Linked DNA regions of Drosophila melanogaster. The protein of the gene in region 2 purifies or fractionates together with the protein of the main gene of each other region. This does not show direct contact. Each region holds a gene or a part of one and is shown on either strand. Other genes may lie near its edges.

Evidence for each region.
Region 1: the proteins of CG33253 (region 2) and CG2070 purify together in Drosophila melanogaster (affinity purification with mass spectrometry, with the first as the bait; one large-scale study listed by BioGRID). This does not show direct contact.
Region 3: the proteins of CG33253 (region 2) and Kdsr purify together in Drosophila melanogaster (affinity purification with mass spectrometry, with the first as the bait; one large-scale study listed by BioGRID). This does not show direct contact.

The regions. Positions count from the first base shown.
Region 1 is NT_033778.4:7,657,996-7,665,320, reverse strand, and holds CG2070 (uncharacterized protein), read right to left. Parts: upstream 3,467-7,325; 5' UTR 3,285-3,466; coding exon 3,205-3,284; intron 3,156-3,204; coding exon 2,892-3,155; intron 2,823-2,891; coding exon 2,406-2,822; intron 2,351-2,405; coding exon 2,134-2,350; 3' UTR 1,913-2,133; downstream 1-1,912. Other genes in the region: CG2065 (uncharacterized protein), read right to left, coding at 197-425, 487-746, 812-968, 1,025-1,281; Grl43a (gustatory receptor-like 43a), read left to right, coding at 4,733-5,812, 5,883-6,065; CG30495 (uncharacterized protein), read right to left, coding at 6,885-7,101, 7,159-7,325.
Region 2 is NC_004354.4:19,178,141-19,187,778, forward strand, and holds CG33253 (uncharacterized protein), read left to right. Parts: upstream 1-5,280; 5' UTR 5,281-5,404; coding exon 5,405-5,585; intron 5,586-6,325; exon of another isoform or gene 6,326-7,307; intron 7,308-7,549; coding exon 7,550-8,066; intron 8,067-8,137; coding exon 8,138-8,303; intron 8,304-8,393; coding exon 8,394-8,633; coding exon of another isoform or gene 8,634-8,774; 3' UTR 8,775-9,138; downstream 9,139-9,638. Other genes in the region: CG7556 (uncharacterized protein), read right to left, coding at 1-107, 860-1,539; CG7453 (uncharacterized protein), read left to right, coding at 2,139-3,053.
Region 3 is NT_033777.3:25,256,753-25,264,108, reverse strand, and holds Kdsr (3-ketodihydrosphingosine reductase), read left to right. Parts: upstream 1-1,610; 5' UTR 1,611-1,708; coding exon 1,709-1,925; exon of another isoform or gene 1,926-1,927; intron 1,928-1,995; coding exon 1,996-2,564; intron 2,565-2,628; coding exon 2,629-2,853; 3' UTR 2,854-3,146; downstream 3,147-7,356. Other genes in the region: GlnRS (Glutaminyl-tRNA synthetase), read left to right, coding at 1-771; CG11858 (uncharacterized protein), read right to left, coding at 848-1,164, 1,224-1,299; CG11857 (uncharacterized protein), read right to left, coding at 4,073-4,615, 4,677-4,745; Nup358 (nucleoporin 358kD), read right to left, coding at 5,550-5,908, 5,980-6,987, 7,052-7,356.

The DNA.
Region 1 (7,325 bases), on a different chromosome or scaffold from region 2:
GCAACAATGTTGATCTCAAAATACAAATTTTAGATTAGGTAAAGCTTTTTTGGGAGCATTTCTTTATTTTCAGCTTGTAGAATCCGTAAGAATTCTACAATTCAAACATAAATTATTACATTTTGCGTTAGTCTTCATTATGATAAGCTATTAAAATAATAAATTATGAAATGGCGAGGGATAAACTAATGGTTGCTTAATCAACTTTGGTTGAATTCACGCCGGTCCACTTCTCGCTCTCCGCCCAGAGGAACTTTCCAGTCTTGTCGTCCTGGGCAGCTGCGGACACTTCCTTTGGCTGGCAGTCGCTAAAGTAGAGCCCGGAAACATCCTTTAGTGCAGGATCCAGGGCTGCGTAGAGAGTGGTCTGCGCTCCATTGCGAGGGGTTTTGAAGAGTACCCACAGGAGGGGCTTGAGCAGTAGCCTAAGCGATACGAGTGTTAATATCAAACTCAAGTAGTGCCCACTTATGTCTTCTATCTTACTGTGCAAAGGGGTGTTTCAGGAACTTCCAATTCCTCGACAGCTCCGTGTCCACGGCACCGGGATGTAGGGAGTTGGTTGTGACCCCCGTTCCCTCCAGGCGCTTGGCCAATTCCCGGGTGAACAGGACGTTGGCCAGCTTGCTCTGACTATAGGCACCGATTCTGCTGTACGACTTTTCACTGTTTAGGTCGGCAGTTTTAATGAAACCTTGGGTGTGCACCAGGCTGGAAACGTTCACGATGCGACTGGGTGCAGTTTTCTAGTGAGATTAAGCAGGGAGTTTGGTTAACAAGGTGCTAAGAAAGTCCTGAGTACCCAAAATACCTTCAATACGTCCAGCAGCAAGTGGGTGAGCAGGAAGTGTCCCATATGGTTGACTCCCAACTGCATTTCGAAGCCATCCTTGGTCAGTGTTCTGGGACAGTGCATAACTCCTGCATTGTTTATCAGGACATGAAGCTTATCCTGCTCTTTCTTGAATCTAATAAACGAGGGAAATCAGTAACGCATTCGTCGATCTATCATGTTTGCGTTTACCCAGCAGCGAATTTGCGAATGGATTCCAGCGAACTCAAGTCCAGTTCTCGAGAGAATATGTTCTGGTTATTTGTCTCCCTGATAATATCCTGGCGCGCCTTCTCGCACCGGTTCATATCCCGGCATGCCATGTACACAGTGCCTCCTCGCTTGGCAATCTCCAGGACCGTCTCCTTGCCAATGCCCGTGTTGGCACCGGTGACAATGAACACCTTGCCGGTCTCATCGGTCTGCTTGGTGAACTGACCGCCCTGCATGTATTTTCTGAAATTCATTAATTCTTATCACTCTATTTCAACACAGGCCGCAATTCACGAGCGTATTAATCATTACTCAGCAGTAGAACTATTCCATGCAAATACCTTAGCAAGTAGGCAGCCAGTCCGATAATGGACGGCCAAAAATGAGGGGGCAGCACAAGCAATTAGTAAGGCAGCCCATTTTGTTTGGATACAGTATAGATCTTGCCGCCGTTTGTGTTCGTTTCACTTGCTGGTTCTGTCAATGAATGTTTGCCCGTCCGTTTGGAACTGCCTTTTATACGAAATGTACGCTATCTGCTCCAAAATACACGAAAGCCACAAAACGCTTACTCACGATGAGTTTGATTCGAAACTGCGAGAGAACGAAATATGTTTGGGGTTTGCTGAGAGCTTTTTGCTTCTAGTTTATAAAAACCTCATTGCAAGTCGAGCAAATGCATGATAAGCTAAATAACTATCTGCAAGTCTAATTTAATTAATACCTAATCTTATAATACCATATTATTCTATTATTATTATTCTTATTTATATTCTATTATTTTCGATTAGTTTTTCACCTGCTTCTATGACAGCTCATGACTTAAACCGAAATCATATATTGCTAAATAGTTCAGATTCTAGTGACGCCAAGGCAACGTTAACTAAATGTTTATTTAAAAAATGCAATTACTAAATCAGTTTATTTAAGATTACTCAGATAACTGGTTCCAAGACTTCCAGCCAAATGTTTTTAAAATGTTTGTAATGTTTTTACAAAAGTTGAACAGAACATCTAGCTCATTTAGCTTATTCTATTAAATGTATTTCAACAATACAGGGTAAGAGTTAAAAGAGTCATAAAGTTGCTCATATATTAATTCCCGTCCACTTTTCACTTTCCGCCCATAGGAATTGGGCATCATCGTCATACTGGGCGGCCGAGCCCACGTGCTTCTGCTTGCAATCGCTGAAGTATCTTCCAGATACTTTTTCCAAACTGGGATCCAGGGCAGCGTACAGGGTCGTCTGTGCGCCATTCCTAGCCGTCTTTATGAATATCCATATAATAGGGGCTATGAGCAATCTAAAGGCGAGCCGAAAGTTAATAGCTGATGGGATGATGCAATCAGCAAACTTACTTTCCAAACCACGAACCCAAAAAGGGTGTATTGCGGAACAGTTCCGTGTTTACTACTCCGGGATGTAGGGCATTTACCGTGACCCCTGTTCCGCTCAGGCGTTTCGCCAACTCCCTGGTGAAGAGGACGTTGGCCAATTTGCTCTGACAGTAGGCCATCTTTCTGTCATAGGACTTTTCGCTGTTCAGGTCGTCACGCTTAATCCTTCCGAAGCGGTGAGCAATGCTGGACAGGACCACAACGCGACTGGGCGCGGAACTCTTCAGGACATCGAGAAGCAGAAGTGTGAGGAGGAAGTGGCCCATGTGATTCACTCCGATTTGCATTTCAAATCCGTCCTCCGTCAGCATTTTGGGGCAGTCCATAATGCCGGCGTTGTTGATAAGAATGTGAAGCTTGTTTTGCTCCCGCTTAAAGCTAAAAAGTATTAAATTGAGTACCTTTATTTATATGTGTATTCATTAAGGTCAATAGGAATGTGCTTACCCAGCAGCGAAGTTCCTAATGGACTTCATGGAGCACAGGTCCAATTGGCGTGCGAAGATGTTCTGGTTGTTGGTCGCTTTGATGATCTCCCGACGGGCATTCTCGCACTTCTTCATGTCCCGACAAGCCATGTACACGGTAGCTCCCCTGCGGGCCAGCTCCAGAACGGTCTCCTTGCCAATCCCCTGGTTGCAGCCGGTCACAATCGCCACTCTGCCGGTCTCATTCGTTTTCGTGGTGAACTGACCTCCCTGCATATATTGTCTAACTGGCTGAGGTTAAAGGGCCATCACTGAGAGTGGACAAAACTCACCGGAGCAGATAGATTCCGATGGCCGAAAGAGCTGACCCATATGCCAGCGGGCAGAACAGGTAATCCGTGGGTGCACTCATCTTTCCGCTCCGAATGCTACCAGCTCCAAGTGGCGACTGGCCAGATCCAGTCCCCTTACACATTTCTTTATACGAGCAATATCAAAACCTCGGAATGTCCATACTTGAAACATTAACGTGGACCGGTATAAAACATCGTTTTAAGTTTAAGGTTGGAGGGTTTACGATTGCCGCGTCGCCGAGGGAAACGGATGCTTCCGTAAGTTTTTATCGTCCGGCCAAAGTTTATTATGTAAGCTGTATAGATAGAATCATAATAACCGTCGATCATAGGGTAATGTAGATATAGCTAAAGTGTATTACTAGAATGAGTTTCAGACCTAGGCTTTCAGATCGTCTTAAATGATGAATGTGGGAAAGCTCTCTATAAATACACCTTATTTAAGGCTCTGTTTTCACAGCAATCGATTTGTAAAAATTACATTTAATGACCAGCTTCTGCGATGACGAGGGGAAGTAGTTAGTCTTCCATGTTATTAGCTTGCATAAATTAAATGAAATGATAATTTTTGGGCAGCAGCTCCGTTTATTTTTGGATTGAGCAATACTTACTTAATTTACCATGTAATTTGTTGGAGAGCCTTTTGTTTTGTTTGGGCCTTTTACTTTCATTTGGCCATTTTCGTTAATGCGAATAGTACTAACACCCGAATTCGATTCGATTAACATACTGGCCGGAATACAATGAGCACAGGCTCGCATTCACCCGGAGCCATGTGGTCCGCCACCAACTTTCGCAGGCATCAAAGAAAGCCAAACCAAGTTCTCCATCGGTGGTTTTTCAAGGGCAGTGCCTGGATCATCTACGAGCAATATCAAAACCTCGGAATGTCCATACTTGAAACATTAACGTGGACCGGTATAAAACATCGTTTTAAGTTTAAGGTTGGAGGGTTTACGATTGCCGCGTCGCCGAGGGAAACGGATGCTTCCGTAAGTTTTTATCGTCCGGCCAAAGTTTATTATGTAAGCTGTATAGATAGAATCATAATAACCGTCGATCATAGGGTAATGTAGATATAGCTAAAGTGTATTACTAGAATGAGTTTCAGACCTAGGCTTTCAGATCGTCTTAAATGATGAATGTGGGAAAGCTCTCTATAAATACACCTTATTTAAGGCTCTGTTTTCACAGCAATCGATTTGTAAAAATTACATTTAATGACCAGCTTCTGCGATGACGAGGGGAAGTAGTTAGTCTTCCATGTTATTACCTTGCATAAATTAAATGAAATGATAATTTTTGGGCAGCAGCTCCGTTTATTTTTGGATTGAGCAATACTTACTTAATTTACCATGTAATTTGTTGGAGAGCCTTTTGTTTTGTTTGGGCCTTTTACTTTCATTTGGCCATTTTCGTTAATGCGAATAGTACTAACACCCGAATTCGATTCGATTAACATACTGGTCGGAATCCAATGAGCACAGGCTCGCATTCACCCGAAGCCATGTGGTCCGCCACCAACTTTCGCAGGCATCAAAGAAAGCCAAACCAAGTTCTCCATCGGTGGTTTTTCAAGGGCAGTGCCTGGATCATCTACGCAATCGCCTGCGGACTCCACTTCTTCAAGCTGCACTACAACGAGCGCACCAATCAAGTGGAGGAGTCGCAGTACCATCGAATATGGTCCAAGATCGTGGTTGTCCTCAAGGTCATACTGCTGGCCAGCCCGTATCTACAGTACTTCGTACTCGGACTGGGCATATACATCCACATCACACTGGTGCAGGACAGCAAGGCGCAGAACTTCCTAATGAGTCTCATTGTGCTCGGAATCGTGATAGGCGTCCTGCGGCGCCTACTAATCTTCCTGCACCTGAAGAGGGATCGCAGGTTCCTGAAGCATACTGTGAACGAGATCCTGCATATAACCAGCGCGCTGGAGCAAAAGTTCGGTATGGAGTATAAGTGCGACTCCACATTGCTAGTGGTGTACCTGGCTAAGCTGTGGATACTCACCGTCATGCTGGATTCCTTGTGGTACAAGCCCTACTTCCTCTCGTCCATCTTCCTCTACTGGGTGCTGTTGGAGTACTGCTTTGCTGGCTATTTCATTTACCAACTCATCCTGCTCAGCTGGTACCACACCATTATTCTGTTCCTGCAGCGCTTCATCGAGGACCATGCGAATCGGTTGGATATTGAGCTTCACTACCATCGGCGCCTGATCCCGCTCTTTGAGCTCCATTTGCGCATCAACAATCTGCATAAGCACGTTAGGGACAACGTCTCCTGGCTCTCGACCTCTGTTTACCTGATGATCTTCACCTGCATCTTCAACGCCGAACTGCTCATTGAATGCAGTCTGTTCGCCGGAGACGAGCTGGAGAACAAGATCTACATCATCACGGACGGTTGCTTGGGACCCGTCTGCGTTCCGATACTGTATGTGCTTATCCTGGGCATGTGCACCGATCGATTTCGCGATGCTGAAGTACAGCTTCAGCAACTGTTCGTAATCGTTCAGGGCTTGTATATGAGGAAGGTCAGGCCACACCTTCTAATCGCAATGGTTCTCGAAAACGAGGTGAGATCTGCTTCGGCAGCTGGCTTCCCTGGCCGACTTCTCCAATTCATTCCCAATTACATTTCCGCAGCACACCTCGTTGATAATTCACCAGAAGCTGAAACCGCTCGAAAATATGATCATCCTAGACATCACTTGCGACAGGGAGTTCGTCATGGACTACATTGTCACGGTGATCCTTACAGCATTGTCTCTTGTGCAGTACACCATATCAACTGGAGGAAATATAAGCGAGTGCGTGACCCATAAATAGCAACCCATCTGGACCACACTATTAGGAGGATGAGATCATTATATAACTGTGGAGCTGGACACAGTTATCGTATAATTGCGTGGGTCAAAAGAACTTCCTTAGCGCCTACAAAAGTGTATCTTTTGAAAGCAGAACTCAGAGCTCGTAATTATAAAGCACTAAATGCTTACTATTTAAATGCTACAAATGGTTTTATTGTTTTTATACAAAATTAAGGTTTATTGACTGTAGTAGTAAACTTGTCAGATACGTGGTTTTACGCACTGCGATTCAACAACACAGGATTTCCCGTTTGCATAGAGAATTATGAGAATTCGTTCGTTTCAAGAAAATCCCGTGACTCTAATGAGAACAAGAAAATGCTGTCACTGTCGATTTATCCCTTTAGTTTCGATTTCACGTGATGCTTAAGGTCCTGTTCTCGTTTCCTCGGCAGACAAGAGATGCTCAATTGTGCATAAGATTTGCCACACTGGAGCCCAGTTTTATTTAGCTTACATATAGTTTAAATTTTATTTAGTAAATATGACACATGTTCCTATCTAACATATTACCTGAACTAACTATACGATTTACTTGTAAAGTAACAATCAACCTAAATTATTGTAGTTAAGGTCCACGTAACAGGTAGGATATATGAATCAGGATATCATGTTCCTCGACTAGCAAATCCTTTAATTGTTCTTATTACCTAGTACAGGCCATTGAATCTGGTATATCCTATTATACTAAGAGTGCGTACTTCAATAACCACGGCTGTTGTGAAATTTAAGTGGCTTTAATTGCGACTAGCCCAATCACACTATTCCAGTAGCCCATTTACAGCGCAATTTTCGCCCACTTCTCGGACTGCGCCCACAACCACTGGGCCATCTGGTCGTCGAGGGCAGCGGGAGCTACCGGAGCCAGAGCGCAATCGCTGAAGTACTGACCCGACACTCTTTCGAGATCAGGATCCAAGGCAGCATACAAGGTGGTCTGGGCCCCGTTCTTAGGCGTCTTCATCACGGCCCAAAGGAGCGGCCTCAAAATGGTTCTAAATGAAAACCAAAAATTAGTAAGTGTATAAAAAGAGAATTGAAAGAGGACACACTCTACCACATACTGAGCAAACTTTGTTTGGAAGAAGATCATGTTCCTGGCTATCTCCGTGTCTGCTATTCCAGGATTAAGGGCGTTGACCGTCACGCCCGTTCCCTCCAACCGCTTGGCCAGTTCGCGGGTGAAGAGTATGTTGGCCAGCTTACTTTGGCAGTAGGC
Region 2 (9,638 bases):
TGTTCTGCTTGCGCTTCCGCAGATTCTCCTTGTGCTCCTTGCGAAGGCGCGCCTGCTCCTCGGCCTCCCGTTCCAGTTCCTCCTGACGACGGACGGCCTCCAGTTCCCTGTGGATGCAAATTGGGATGAATCAATTAGTTTCTTACTTCTTACTTTTGGATACCGTTCCCACACGATTTTTGTTAGCTTGTTAGCTATTCTACGCTAATCGAATTTTAGTACCTTATCTGTGGTCATATCAAGAATGCTCAGTTTCATTTGATTATCGTGCGACACAAAGACTGACAATATTCCTTCTTTGGAACCTATCTAATGGTGCAAGTCATCTTAAGGTGCACTCATGAGCACCTTTTTTGGAAAGCATAAAATGTGTTTGCATGGTGACATATCGTTTTCTTTCTTTGTTTCTTAATTGAATTGCCTATATTTAGAAGAATTGTTCTAGCTTGTGAATATAAAATGCTAACTAAAGGCTATGACCAAAATTTCAACTGAGAAATGAGAAACTAACCAACTTTTAATATTAAATGATATCACTCTGCATGCAATGAACATACAGAAACCACAGCGAATTAACGATAAGAGTGGCAATGTAAGTTATCAAAACCTGATGCAATACAAAACTAGAATTATATTCTTTTGTTGCTCTATATACTAAGATATTGAAGACTAAAGTAAGAGAGGTCTGCCAAAACTCCGAGCACAAGGTCGCAAAATAATAATCCTTCCGCTGCCAGGACCTCTCGATATAGAAACTTAATGAAATAGCAAAATCCTACAACTCCAAAATGACTACAATGGAACAAGGCGCTATAATAACGTAAAAACGTAAGGTAAGCAATAGAACCCTGCCACTTACTGCCTGCGCTTCTCCAGGGCGAGTTCCTTTAGCTCGTTGGCCTTGCTGAATCCGTTCTTGATGGTGCGCGGCAGGTTCCACAGGGCCAAGGGGATCTGGATGGGCAGGGTGTTGAGTAGCGAGGGCATCGGTATCTCGCTAAGGATCACGTCCATGTCGATGTTCTTGTTCTTCTTCTGCAGCTTCTTCAGCTTGGTGCCAAAGACCTGTTCGGCGGTGTACTTCTTCTCGAGGTAGGCCGCCCAGGCGAATAGATACTGGCCCACGGTGGTTATCAGGAAGAGGATAAAGGCGCCCTCATAGAGCCCGATCTTGCGCATACGTCGGTAATAGTAGAGGGCAGACTTCCAGTTGGGCATGCCCTCCTTCAGTACCCGGTCGTACTTCTCTCGGCGCGACGGATCTTTGAGAACCTCGTAGATGGAAACGAGGTTGCGGAACTGGATGTTGGCATCCTCGGCCGGATTCTTGTCCGGATGCAGGACAATGGACAGGGTGCGGAAGGCGCGCTTCACCTCGGCGCCCGTTGCCGTTTGGTTGATGCCCATGAACTCGTAGAAGTTGCGGTTTACCTCCTCGACCAAGTCAAAGATCTCCAGTTCCTCCGAGTGCCAGGCGCTGGCGCCAGTGGCGCAGAGCAGCAGGAGGCCGGCCAGCGTCAGCTCCGGTCGCATCATCATCGTGGTCCGAGTTCCGAATCCAGGTCAGGTCCAAATCGGAGTAAAATCCAAATTTAATGCGCCAGACCCACGCACGCACCACAAATACACACACACGCAAGCAAACACGGATAGGCTCAGCTGGAAAGTGGCAACGTCAGCAGACTGGTCGCTGGTGCGACAGCGTTGCCACCACTCGGTAAAGTTTGTGTAGACAAAAAGATATTTGCAACGTTTCTATTATTTATTTTTACGAATTTCTGTTTTTTTGTTCAAAAATAATTTACTGCACTAATTCTGTAACCATATATATGTAATCAAATTTTACAAATTTTTTTTTCCAACTAACGACACACAGTAGGTCAAACAGATTTCGTTTGTTTGCTCATTAAAATTTGCTCATAACATTTGTCAAGTTCTTCCTGAAAACAATAAAACAAATTCTCTTTCTATACCGAATTTTGTTTTAACTTGATACACGTTTTTCACCTGTTTCAAACCAAAACGCCCAACACTGTCGACTGTTATCGATAAGCTCTCGATGGTGCATCACTTGTGCAACTAAATGAATAGAAGCGACGCGACGTTTCACTCTTATAAGAATAAGAAATCAGACGACAATGAAGCTGCTCTATATGCTGTGGCTGCTGAGCATCTTGGTCCTGGTCTCAGGCCAGCAGAAGCAGACAGCTAACTCCGCCACCAAGGACGCCCCAGTGGTGGCCAATGCGACGAACGTGCTGCAGGCCAAAGTTATTCCAGGATCGAAATTGGAATCTGGATCTCCGGGAGCTGCCAGCCAGCTGGTGCCGGGTAAGGATGCAGCTGTGTTGCAACAGGACAAGAACTTAAACAAAACGGCCACAGCAGAAAATGCAGGTAAAGCCAAAAATCTCACAAACACCGATACAGGAGTGCCCACCATTCCTTTGGTCACTTCCAAGCCGGCTGTGGAGCAAAAGGCGGCCAAGGAGGCGACCAATACGACCTCCACTACAACTTCTTCCACCACGACCACCACCACCACGGCAAAGCCAGCTGCAGGATCAGCCATAGTCACCGAGGGCCAGTCCATGAAGGATGTCACCAAGCCGAGCAACTCGTCCACCAACGGCGCGGCAATATCCCCGACCAACAGCACCCACACCGCCACAGCCACCACCAAAACTGTCAATTCAACCATCATCGCAACCACGCCAAAGCCGAAGAAGCCCCCAGTGGTATTGAGCACTGATATACACCAGGAGGGGGAGGATATGGCGGAGCTGGAAAAGAGTCAGGATAAGCCAGGTACAAAGGGCGCTCCCACCCAGCCATTGGCCACACCACCAGAGCCATTGGTGCAGGGGCTTACTGGAAGTAATCTTGCCGATCACGGAGAGAACGGGTATGTGGTACCCATTGTTACCGTGCTGCTGACCGTTCCGCTGGCCATCGGCGTGGTGACCATCATGTACCGCCGCTTCCGCGACATGTGGAGCACCAGGCACTACCGTCGCATGGACTTCCTGGTGGACGGCATGTACAACGACTGACGAAGACGCGGACGACAGGCTGGCGGCAAGGGCGGCCACTTCACCGGGTGCTCCAACGCCTCCTCCGGCGCACTCGGATGATTATTAGTTGTTTAAGTTATACACGACTGGACGTGCTTGCATTCAATGCAAGATCGCCGGATCGAAAGCAGAGTGAGAGTAGCGGAGAGCAGAGGAGGCGGTGGGAAAACGAAACGAAACTATGATATTGCTCAGTCAATTAGAGGAGGAGGAGAAAGGGATTCGCTTTGCAGCGTGGCTAGGATACCCTTCCGAGCGGCCAAATTGAATTTAAAGCCAACTGATTTTCAACACTAAATTCGAGTGGACTCTTAAGTTTAAGCATTTGGATTATTGTCAAGCATTTGTTAGCAATCAAAAATTGATACCGGCACTTATATGTACCCTATATATACATATATCTACTTAGGCTGCTGCTGTACATCGAAGGCTGCGGACTCTCAACCATCAACCATCAACATCAACATCAGCGCAATTAGCAATCACTTGATGCATCCACAATCTAGCCGTAATGTGCCTTACGAACCAGCTCTATATACACCTTTACACATGATATTCTCCATCGCCGGGTCTTCGAGGTGATTTCTTCGCATTTACTTTACGCAACCAAGCAGCAGCACTCACTCAAAAAAAAAAACCAGCAGAAACCAAAAACACAAGCAATCGGCCTGAAACAAGCAAATTTATTGCATACCATGTGTATATACATAAATATGAATATATATATATATATATATACATATTTCTTATTGTTATTAATTTAACAACTACAATAAAGCAACAAGGCTAAAAAAAAAAAGATATATTTGGAAATGAAGTTTATTTATTAAGAGCCTCGGGCACTACTTGTGCCTCTATGATATCGTTTTTCCTCGTTTTAAAACAAAACTAATTGCTTATTCTGTAAAATGCAAACAACCGCAGTCTTGAATGTCACGCTAATTACTTGGTTTTGAATAATTCATTGAAATGTTAGCAATCAATTAAAAGGAAATTAGATAAAAACAGATATATATATGTGATATTTTAAATAACAAATAATACAGGATTGTAGTTAGTCGAATAGAACCCAAATTCAATTAATTCCTTAATAATTTTTTTCCAAACTCATTTTGGTAGTGTAAATCATGATTTATGCTTGCCAGCCCCGTTCAAATTCAAATATCATGCACTAAATCTTCTGGTTAACCCATTAATGTCTTCATTTATGCTTTATGGTTGGGAACACGCAATCGACTCCAGTGGCCAGATTTCCCTGGAGATTCGAGGCTACCAATTGATGTGCGTCCGGAGCTGTGACCTTTGGTGATAATAGATCACCAGCGCCTGTTCCTCGCGTCTTGATTTAGACAAATGGGGAACGAGGAACTGCCTCCATGCAGCCACCAACCCACCCACCTACAAATGGGCAACCTCCAACCAAGCTATGAAATAATGGAAGACAAGCGAGGAACTGCCGAATGCTCTCGATGAAGTGGTTTATAAATGATCTCCATCTGCGAAGTTGTTCGTGGATCGTTTCAATAATTTAAACAAAAAGAACTAAACTGCCAACAAAACGATCCATTCCGCGTGCGTGTTAGTGTGTGCCGGGAAATTCGGAAAAGCGGGAAAATCGTTCGGCCACGAAAATGTGTGAAATGAGCCGAACGATTGCCGCTGCCAGCGTTTTCACCTCTGTCTAGGATACAGTTTATGATACCCAATAAAGTGTAGGACCCAGAGGGTATAATGCATTTATGAAACATTCGTTAACCAATTTGGTAATATATCAAAGATTTGAGAAGTTTTAGCAGCAATTAATTAAAAATATAAAAACGTTAGGGAATTATTCATATTAAATATTCAAATAATTTATTGATCAATGCAACATAATAATTAGTTAATAATTAAACTTTTATTTTAAATAATAATTGGTGCTTCGTTTTGAGTATGCCATTGTGAATTGAATGTTCTTGTTAAAAGAAAAATTAAGATTATAGATTATTTTTGTTATACGATTTTGGTATATATTCAGAATATATGAAAGGAAACTTCAAAGAGATTGATTCCAATTCGAATTTCCACTTTGCATGAAATATGAAAATGCAAAATTAGAGTGCACTTTTACATGGTATCTAGCAGTCGGGACACCGATTGGTATGTGGAATAGTTTTATACTTCCTGTCTTCGCCTCTGCGTTTGGCTTTGTGTTCGTTCTTGGCGTGCTCATTTCAAAACGTGCGCTGGACGCGTGCAGTTCTCCAGTTCGACCAGTTAACGTCTGATACCCGTGGAGTGGAAATCGCATCCCTCCCATCCAATACGATCCGAGAACGTGTCCTGCTGCAATGCATCCTGCCTCGCCGCATCAGCACCGCGCCCGCCTGCATGTCGGATCGCCAGGATCGGGTGGCATACAGGCCTCCTCCTCCACGGAGACCTTCCCACTCACTCCGCAGCACCAGTCCTCGCAGCACGCCGTTCACATCCCGCCGCCCCCCTCCCTGCCCTACCAGGGACTCAAGACCTGTAAGCATGGCGAAAAAAAGGGTTAAGAATCTAATGATATGATATGATATGATATGGGATATTCCATTTAACATTGATCGCGGATTAACTTTTTAAAAAATCATTCATTCATATCAGGTCTAAAAATATGATCAGTGGTATGTTCAATTGTGTTGCGCCTTGTTAAAAACGAACTAAAAGTGATATACCCAAATAAACAATGGTATAATTAATGTTCATCGAAACCGAAAAACAAACAGCGAGGTATTCGGAAAATATACAATACTTGAGCACTTTTATTCGAAAGTTTTTATGACCTTAATCAAGATATGCAAAAGAAATAATATTTACGTAACGAGTTACTCTAAATAAACGGACTAAGTTTAATTGTTTCAATAGCAGTATTATAAACATCTAATTCAACTTTAGACATTCTAGTAATTTTACTACAAGGTATATACATATATATTAATCGTCCGACAAGTTTTAATGATATATATGAACTATATACATCTGCTGGAAAGGCTGAATGAAACAATTGTGAGAATCTTACTATTGATTACTTTTAATTCATTCATTCAATTAACATTCTATTGCCAAAACATTTGCGTCTTTTTGTCTTGTTTAGCTAAACAATAAAGTACTTGTAGCCTGATTAAAAAGTGAATGAAATAATGATCGCAGATGGCCCAGTCGTGTGTGTGTGGCAAGACTTCCTTGATATCTGGACCGGATTTCCAGATGCATATAACCAAATAATTCGCTCGGCGATTTGTTTAGCTCATAAAACTACACGCACATTGACTGCCAGATACAAATAGTTTTTCACATTTTCCCACCGCACCCACACACATGACCTCACCCCACAGAACTCTAGTGCTCCAGAATAATTCATAATGCATAATTCATAAATCGGCCAAATGTGCGATTAATGCGATACGAAACCATAATCAAGGCGCGAGGTGAGTCAGTGAATCACCAGAGTGAATCAAGTGAATCGTATCCATGCATCGATCGATCGTCGCGACCACCTATGAAGTATGCAATATAAACTGTGCGCCGACATATGAAAATAAATAGAGATGATCGGTGCGGACCGGATCGGATCAGATCGGATATATGTATATGGTACGGATCGAAACTCGAGAGATAAACAGAGCGCCGGAATGGGCAACAGCCAGGCACGGGCGCAAACATGGCCAGTTGTGGAGATGTGGAAATCAGTGATCATATTCAATGTCTGGTCCATAGCCATAAACAAAAAAATGCCCAGCCATGTTGTACATAGTTAGTCGAGCATAAAAAGCAAAGGCAGCCCCGTTGCTGGGTATTTATGGAACTCCTGGGCATTTGTACTAGATCAAAAGCAATTTGTACAAGTTAATTGCCCCAAAAACAAAAACAAAAAAAAATACAGTACCAATCGTGGAATATGCTGGCGCAATTGAAACAATCAGGTCGATCACCGAAATCACCGAAGCCACTTTTCATTGTAAACAAACAAACAGCGGCCATTTCGAAAGGATCATAAAATAGGTAATTGGAAAACACATTATTGGGTCAGTCACTGCTCGCTTTCCCTACGGAAAATCTACGGAAAATCTCAACGATTTGCCAAATCCAACTGAAACATGTATCTTTTATCTGTTTGGCCAGCAGTTGTAAAGATACATCCATACTCGTACTTAGTATTGGGATCAGTTTTCATTTGATGGAGTGTATTCAGAAAGTTATAATATACTCGTATGTTTTTAAGCTAAAGTTAAATGCAAAAATGGTGTCCATTTTCATAACCAATGATATTAATTGCATATCTATTGTTTAAGCTTTAATAATAAATATTAAATTAAGTCCAAAATATTACAAAATGTTGTGAGAATTGATTGTCCTAAGCAAAAGTTTAAAAACAATCATACCAGCTAATCATCATCATAACCAATCATACCACTTTACATACTGCATACGATGATCTTCAAATCTTGCAGCTGAAAACGATGACATGGGCTGCGTGGAGATCCTGGCCACGGTGGTGTCCGTGCTGATCATGGTGCTAACCTTTCCCATCTCGGTGTTCATCTGCTTCAAGGTGGTCTCCGAGTACGAGCGAGCGGTGATCTTCCGGATGGGGCGACTGCGCAGCGGCGGAGCCCGTGGTCCCGGGGTCTTCTTTGTGCTGCCCTGCGTGGACGACTACTATCCGGTGGATCTGCGCACCGTCTCCTTTGACGTGCCGCCGCAGGAGGTGCTCTCCAAGGACTCGGTTACTGTGACGGTAGATGCGGTTGTCTACTACCGCATCAGCGATCCCCTCAAGGCGGTCATCCAGGTGTACAATTACAGCCATTCGACGAGTCTCCTGGCGGCCACCACGCTGCGCAATGTGCTCGGCACCAGGAATCTGTCCGAGCTGCTGACCGAACGCGAGACCATCTCGCACACCATGCAGATGTCCCTGGACGAGGCCACCGATCCCTGGGGCGTTAAGGTGGAGCGCGTGGAGATGTGAGTAGCCAACTGCCGAAAGTCGTGATGTGATCATGACATGATCCACTCTATCCATGATCCGCTTGCAGCAAGGACGTATCCTTGCCAACTGCCCTCCAGCGGGCGATGGCCGCCGAGGCGGAGGCAGCGAGGGAGGCGCGGGCCAAGGTCATTGCCGCCGAGGGCGAGATGAAGTCGTCGAGGGCTCTGCGCGAGGCTTCCGAGATCATCTCGGCCAGTCCATCCGCCCTGCAGGTGAGTCATCTTCTTCCATCTGAATCCAACCATCGGACATTTGGAACTGGCCCAAATGGTTTCATTCGTTCCATCTTCTTCTCTACTTAGTTGCGATACTTGCAAACACTGAGCAGCATTTCAACCGAGAAGAATTCGACCATCATCTTCCCGCTGCCCATGGAGCTGCTCACGCCCTTCCTGAATACCCAAGCACACTCGCAGCAGCTGCAACTGCAACACCAGCAGCAGCTGCAACAGCAACAGCAGCAGCATCAGCACCAACAACAACAACATCCTGCGGCTCCTGGCACGCCACTCCATCGACACCCGCACCAACACCACCAGTGACGCTCGATGTCGGTGCTGCAACCATATCTGGAGGCACTGCATCGCTGCGAGCTGCAGCGTCAGCAGAAGCAACAGCGAAGCGGAGCGGCTGCAGCGGGAGCGGCGGATGACGATGACGACATCGTGGGTTTCTTGCTCTAGTGGAACGGCGGCAGCAGCGACAGAAAGCGGAACTGTCCGGAAAATCCGGAAAATGAGTCACCAATGAATTCGAATGAAAGTGCCATGGAATTCCCTAGATTCTGGAGAGATTCAAACATGGTTCGGACTTAAAAATAAATTTTTTTTTTTTAGAATTTATTCTAATATGTCGAATTTAGTATGCAATAGTAACTGAGGCTTTTCCAAGGCTTTTCCTTCTTCATTCACAGTCGTTTTAAGTAGAGACGTTATATTTAAAATAACCAATATTATTTGTTTGTATCTTAAGAATTAATAACAATAGCTAACTACAAACCAGGGTAAAAGCTAACCATTTAAATAAACCAAATGATTCAGAAAACACATTTTTTTTTTCAGTTCTTCCCCCTTTTTCGAAACAACAAAATTTACATTTATATATGATATATATATATGTATGTACATATTTGCTCTTCGCTTATCTAAATAACTCAGATTTGCATGCCACTTCAGCGAGTGTGGCAGATAAGCTCTTCAGTGCTAATGTGACCGCCAGATCAGAATTGAGTCACCATCGGGTGGCTCCAGCCAATGACCCGTGACCCCAAAGCAGAACTGCGTCTCAATGCTCCAGCTGAGATAACCGATTGATTAAAGTGCTAAACGCACTTGGGCCAGATAGAGCTTACTCGGCTTTCATTGATCGTCGGTCGGAATAATCTGAAAGTGTACGCCTCCAGTTGGCAATTCTTTCGGCGCAGTGCAGTGAATCATCCGTGGTGACCCATGGCTCTCGACTTACAGAGCGGCTCTTGGTGTTTCCCCGGTCGTAGATACACTACACTGAACGAAAATTTACGAGCCGATGCATTTACATTCCATTCC
Region 3 (7,356 bases), on a different chromosome or scaffold from region 2:
ACGGCTCTGAGACGTAGAGGCTTCCCAGCAGAGGCCATCAACAACTTCTGCGCCCAGATGGGCGTAACGGGTGCCCAGATCGCCGTCGACCCCGCCATGTTGGAGGCAGCAGTGCGGGATGTGCTAAATGTTACAGCTCCCCGTCGGTTGGTTGTCCTGGAACCGCTCAAAGTTACCATAAAGAATTTCCCTCATGCAGCGCCCGTGCAGCTAGAAGTGCCTGATTTCCCGCAAAACCCACAGCAAGGAACTCATAAGATCACCCTAGACAAGGTGATCTATATTGAGCAGGGAGACTTCAAGTTGGAGCCTGAAAAGGGATACCGTCGTCTGGCACCGAAGCAATCTGTGGGTCTCCGGCACGCGGGTCTCGTAATCAGCGTGGATGAGATAGTAAAGGATCCGGCGACTGGTCAGGTGGTGGAACTAATCTGCACCAGCCAACCTGCCGAGCAGGCCGAGAAGCCCAAGGCTTTTGTCCAGTGGGTATCGCAGCCGATACAGCTGGAAGTGCGTCTGTACGAGCAGCTCTTCAAGCACAAGAATCCCGAGGATCCCAACGAGGTGCCCGGCGGTTTCCTGAGCGACATCAGTGAGCAATCCATGTCGGTGGTGGTGGCATTCGCGGATCGGGCCCTAAACCAGGCCAAGGTTTACGACAAGTTCCAGTTCGAGAGGATTGGCTTCTTCTCCGTAGATCCTGACACCAGTGCGAACCACCTAGTGTTCAACCGCACTGTGGGATTGAAGGAAGATGCGGGCAAGAAGTGAACGGGATTTCGGGAACCCACAAATGAAAAGAAACAAAATCCGTATCACATTAAAATTCGATTTATAAAATCAATGTTCATTTCTTTCCCTCCACCATGATGATGTGGTAGCCAAACTTGGTCTTAATCGGGGGATCTGTGTACACGGGATTGTTGACAGTGGAGATGGGCAATGCGAAGGCGGCGTCCTGAAATGGGCCCACCATCGCTCCTCGGATCTGCCATCCGAGATCGCCGCCTTGTCGCGCCTTGTCCTCGCTGTAAGCAGCCGCTACCTCGGGGAATTTTTGGCCTGCCTTTAGCTTCTCCATCGCTTCGGTGATCTTGCCCTGCTTCTCGCACAAGATGTGACGAACCTTTACAGCATTGCCTCCCTTCTTCTCCTTACCGGCAGCTGCAGATGGCAAAATTCATTTGAAGGATAGGATTTTTGCTTTAGTCGTAAGCACTTACACTTGTCTTCGGCGGCTGGCTTTTTGCCACCTTTCCCTGCATCCTTTCCACTCTTCGCATCCTTTTTCGGTGGCATTTTCGTTCAATGTTTTTAAATTGCAAATTCGAAACAAGTAAACAGTTTGGTTGGAGCAGACACATGCGGTCAGTGCTGCGCACTAAGATCTAACCTTTTTTATCAAACCACTTTATTTCAAGATCTAGTAAATATTTATGTTGTTGATTCATATGGGTAGCCATTGCACATTTAATTTATTATGAATAAAATTAAACAAAAAGTTTTGAAGAACAAAATATTTGCTTGGCCGCTTATAGCCACATTTGCATCTCTGATGTGCGTCGAAAGCTTTCGATAGAAATCCGGTTTGCGTCAACGGTCACACTTAGATGCACTTTCTAATCAGACGTTTAACTTTGGGTGCAGATAAGCCAGCGTAAGAGATTAGAGAATCCGGGAATTATCGCACCCTCTTGAAATTGTCATCATGGAACTGAGCTGGGAGATAGTGTTCTGCGTGGGCATTGCGGTGCTGGTTCATGTTCTGGTCTACGTGTTCGTCATGGCCAAGAAACCGAGGAGCATTGTGGGTCGTCATGTGGTGGTCACCGGCGGCTCCAAGGGAATCGGACTCTGTCTGGCGGTGGAGTGCGCCATGAAAGGCGCCAATGTGACGGTGATAGCGCGCGACGAGAAAATGCTGAGTGAGTAATGTTCTGGCTAGGAAACCCCACCCAAAATACTCTTATCTTTGATATACGATCTTTTTTGCAGGCGGAGCAGTGGCTCTGATGGAAGTGATTCGCCAGCGGCCAGATCAAAAGTTCCAGTACAGAAGTCTGGACATAAGCGGCGATTATGACCAGGTGGCCAAAGTGCTTGGCGAGATCGAAGATAGCTTCGGCCCCATATACACTTTAATAAACTGTGCCGGAATGGCCATTTGCGGTGTGTTCGAGGAGGTCTCAGTCCAGGATGTCCACAAGCTGATGAACGTAAACTTCTTCGGCACCTATAACTGCACCCGTTATGTCCTGCCCAAAATGAAGAAAGCCGGCGACGGCATTATTGTAATCACTGCCTCACAGGCGGCTATGTTTGGCATCTATGGATACGGTCCTTACTCAGCCACCAAGTACGCCCTGAGAGCGATGGCTGAAACGATTGCAATGGAGTCTCGGGAGCACGGGGTCAGCGTCACTCTGGCCATGCCCTGCGATACGAATACACCCGGATTCGAGGAGGAGGAGAAGTCAAAGCCCAGGGAAACCAAAATAATCTCTGGTGGAGGAGGTCTCATAGAGCCGGAAGTTATGGCGAAAGCTATACTTAAGGATGCCCTGGTGAGTCTGTTACCCATAGTTAATATTCACGCAATCTAACTAGAATACTTTTTCTTATTTGTAGAAGGGAAAATTCACCTCAACTGTTGGAGCAGAAAGCTGGCTGATCACCACTTTGGGTGGAGCATTGCTTCCTTGGGATGGCTTCTTCACCAATCTTCTGCACGCCATAGTTTTGGGACCACTGCGAATAGTTAGCTACGCTCTGCACAAGTACTTCAATAGTGTTATACGCAAATGCGCTCGAGAGGATAAGGCCAAGGCCACATCGCAAGTGGAGTCCAAGTGAAATCTCTCTTGTCCCGCTGCCCTTAAAGTATTCCCAAGTGCCCATAATTAAATCACTTTTTTATAATTAATCAAAATGTGCGATTGTTTTGCATGGTTAGCCTATTCATATATTACAATTCCCGTATTATCATTCATTTTTATATATATATTTGTATGTGCATTTGAACTTTTTTATTATTGCCGTGCTAGGGTTTTAACTATTTGTATCGTGTTTTCTAGACTAGATGACGTGTGCTCGTTTTGTTGGTGTGTGCTTCGTTTTAACAAAAATAAAATGTATTTACTGTTCAGAAAATGAGTCGTTTTTAAATAACCACTTAGTGATTGTGCTAATCGCTAAAGCAATTTCACGCATTGGCCTAATCAAAATTGGTTTCGTATCTTAAAATCGAACAGCAAACTACATGCAGAAGCGATTAGATAAATACAAAAACCACGCCACAAAAGCCATCAACCTTTTCCAAATGGTTCAAAATTCAACGATAAATTATTTGGTTTTCTTTTGTCTTTCTTTATTCATAAGACGCACCCAGTGTACACTTCCTATAGTTTCAGTTTTCAATTCGCCTTTTTTTAACATTCTGTATAGTTAACGCTAACAAAAATTGTATAATCATAATGCAAAATATATATATATATATGTTTGTATATATATTTAGACATATTATTATAGCATCTTAGCACGATAATCAAAAATAATTGGATTCAAATACAGTAAGTCTACTTTTTGGATAGAAGAGTTATTAAATTATTGTTAGGATTAGGATGAAAAACTAAATTAGAGCTGATCTGCAGTATTTCGGTATCGTTTGGGATTTACAATAGATAGAAAGCATTGTAAATAAATATAAATTTAAACAAGCAGTTAGATTAAACAATAAACAAGGTATTTTGCACAAGACGCCGTACGACAACTCAACAGTGAAACGAAAAATGCTACACAAACCGAAAAGGAAAATCATATTATAAGCTTGTTTCTGGTTGATGTTATGCTGCTGGTTCCCATTCCGGGCTGCTTTCGGTAGCTTTCTCTAGTAGTCCTCAATGGCAATGATCTGCGGTGGTTTGATGGACGATGCTGTTGGCGACCCCACATCCTTGGTCGCTGCGCTGTCGCTGGTTGGTGATGGTGGCGCTGCAGCTGCAGAAGAGGCATTTGAAGGATCACCCGATCCCGCTGCCGTCGCCCGCGTGTCCGACGTCTGTGCGGCTAATTGTCACTTTGAGTTGCCCGCCACGGAACCGGGTCCGGAACCCGCCAGATCATTCACCCGCTGGTAGCGCGGTTTATTGCGGGTAAACGGCAAGTACTTGTACTTGATCATATGCTTGATCTGGCGCTTCATCGTGATGCAGAAGAGCGTGATAAAGTACATGACCAGGATGGGCCAGAATACCGGCACGTTGAAGAAATCGAAGAACGTACAAATCAGACCGATGAGCGTGCTCTTCGCCACCGACAGCCAGAACTTGAACTCCGGCAGGCGGCGAATGAATGGCCGGAACTCTTCGTTGCTGCGAGTTGGCAGATTGGGTCCCTCGTCCTCGTCATCCTGCGAATACGGATCGAACTCCGGGTCGATCTTGGGCGTTAAAAAAGCGATAAACAGGTTCAAGTGGTAAATGCCAAGCGCATAGCACACGATGTACCAGCCCTGATAGATGAAGATGCGCAGCACAAAGAGCAGGAGCAGAAAGCCGGCGAACACCCAGCGCATTCGTGTGTGCGGTGTGCTACGGTCCAAGGCGGATTGGTAGGTCTGCGGAAGCAAAGGATGCGGGTTAGTTCCCGGCACGTACGGGCTATCCACAATTACTTACCTGTGAGAGGCGCTGAAAGAACTTCTTAACCCCGCCGCCGCCGGCAGCACTGCTGTCCTCGTTCATCATGGTCGTCGTCGGTAGTCTCTCATTAATCTCCGGCCCTCGACTTTTATTGTTGACTTTGACGCTGTCGTTGTTCTCGCTGCACACGTGTATCGATTCGGGAATTGCAAAATTTTCCGGGACGGGGGCAGGGGCTGCCGGAAAGGGGCTAACAAAACACGAAATGGGCCAACTGGCAAACTAGACGCGCTTCAATCGCTAATTATTCTCTAATTCATATTCTGCACCGCCCGTCGTCGCCTTCTTCTTCTTCCTCCTTGTTGTAGGGCTGTTTCAACTGTCAGTTTCCTGAGATTGCTATATAGACAGTATTCGGGATTCGTAAAGTTCTGGCCACAGTTTAGTGCGTTTCTATGCGGTAACTAATTTAATTACACTAGAGATTTGTCGGCAATTTATTGTTCTTTTTTCACACAGAGTTCACCACGTCATTATGCTCTCTCAGTGGCAGGGCTGTCAAACTATCGGCTGGGGATGGAACAATCGGGAGTTGAGCGATTATCGCGAAAGGTAATTGTTTGTTTTAATTTTTTATCTAAGTGCTGTCGATATTTTAAAAATAGGTAGAGGTACATTTAATATATAAAAACATAGCCAGTTTCCTTGTGCTATATGGTTGTACGTCCGAATTTGTCTCCTCTCTAATATATCGATTGCTTTATTCAATAGTCAAATTTATTTCAAATGTAATATTAATGTTTATCGAAATTTTATTAGCAAAATGTGAAATAGCCATTGTCGCTACTGTTTTGGATGAATATTCTAACACAATCCTAGACATGCTACATATATTTAGATCCGGTTTGCTTATGAGCTCGCCTGCTCCTCCGGCGCGTCGTCATTCTTGTTCTCCTCATCACCTTGCAAGGCCTTGGCTCGTTTTATGCACGAATTGACCGTGTTGAGGAACTCACTGGCGATCTCTTCCTTGGCGAATCGACAGGCAAGGCGTTCCAGGACGCCCTCGGTGTCAACTTTACCCTCTGCGTCCACCGCGTAGTTGTAGCCGGCCCACAGGAAGCTCTTCATCTGCGCGTTCATGTAATCCATTTGCAGGGAGGCGGAGATATTCATGTTAAGCACCAGCTTGTGGATCTGCTCCTGCCGCATGATCAGTCGGAATGTCTGCAGCTCCGGGTGCTCCAGCACCTTTATCTCACCGACACCTTTTTTTTTTTTTTTTGGTTTTATAAAAACTTTTAGTGTGAATAAGAAAGGGACTATTACTACAGCTTACCTCGCTCCTTCCATTGTTTCGATTCGGCGTCATAGCGATAAAGCTTCGCCCGCTCGCCAAACAGCTTAGTCTCGTTCTCCTCTCCCGTGGTGACAACTATCTCATCCGGCAGCTCTACAATGGCATCATAGTGCGGATCGTAGTTGTCATCAGTGGTCGCGTCGCCGTCATCATCGCACTCTTCTGTGGCTTGCGGCGACTCGAAGTTCTTGAAAGCGTTCTGATGCGTGAGGTTATAAAAGCCGCCCCCGGCGGACTTGTTGAATCCCACGGTAGTGCCCTGGCTATTGGCCGACAGGTTGGCAAAGTCGTTGCCCGTCTTGTTCGCTAAGTCCGCAAAAGTGCCGCCCGGATTGCTTGCCAAATCTGCAAACGTGCTGCCTGTCTTGGCCAAATCGGCAAATGTGCTGGTCGTCTCCGGCACCAACTCCTTCTTTTCCTTGCCTTCGGCTTTAAGATCAGTGGTGTTATTCGAGGTTATGTCCTTTTCCTTTTCATTTTTTGCAGCTGTAAATGAGAAGGTTGCCATTTGTCCAAAAGCGGGTGCACTGCCAAACACAAAGTCTTTAGCAGGTGACTGGGTTTCAATTTTGGGTATTCCAAAGGCGTTGGACCCTCCAAATAACAATGGGGTTCCGCCAATGATAGATTTTGGTTCTTCCTTGCCATCTGATTTTTGCAAATTAACTTTGTGGCCTCCAAAAGGATTGGCGTCTCCGAACACAGGTGCGGCAATTCCACCGAAGGCCAACTTCGGTGCTTCTTGGGTCGCTGGCGATTGGGAATCCGCTTTATTGCCTCCGAAGACAGACTCTGAGGAATCTTTCTTCTGTTGCTCAGCCGCTTTATTTCCACCCCCGAAAAAGAACTTGACAGAACCGTCAGACGAATTTTCGTTTGACGAGCCGCTACGGAATATAGATCCCAAAACGTTTCCTTGTCCTTCGCCTGATGCTAGTTTTTGAAGATTAGCTAATGGGCCAGCATCCTTTCCAGGCTCCGATTTATCTGAAGTGAACATAAAAAGCGGTTAGATCCTTTTATCTTGAGGTCAACGTCGAATTATACATACCCGTGCTACCGAAAATGAATGCTGAACTAGGCGTTTTGCTTGCCTCAGAAGCCGAAGAGTTATTTCTGCTCAGCGAACTGCCTTTGAACAATATGGTGGCAGGTGTTTGGTAATCGTTAGGCTTGGCCAATGGCTGGGGGAGAGTCAGTAGGGGAAGGGTCATGGGAAGTGGAGGGATTACTTCGTGCGTGGTTGGCCTTACAGAAGAGGTTTTGCCAACATCAAGTACTTCCGATTCGCCTCCTCTGCTCTTTGCCGCCCCATCATTTTTTTGGGACGGTTTATTTGCTTCCGTCGATTGGGAA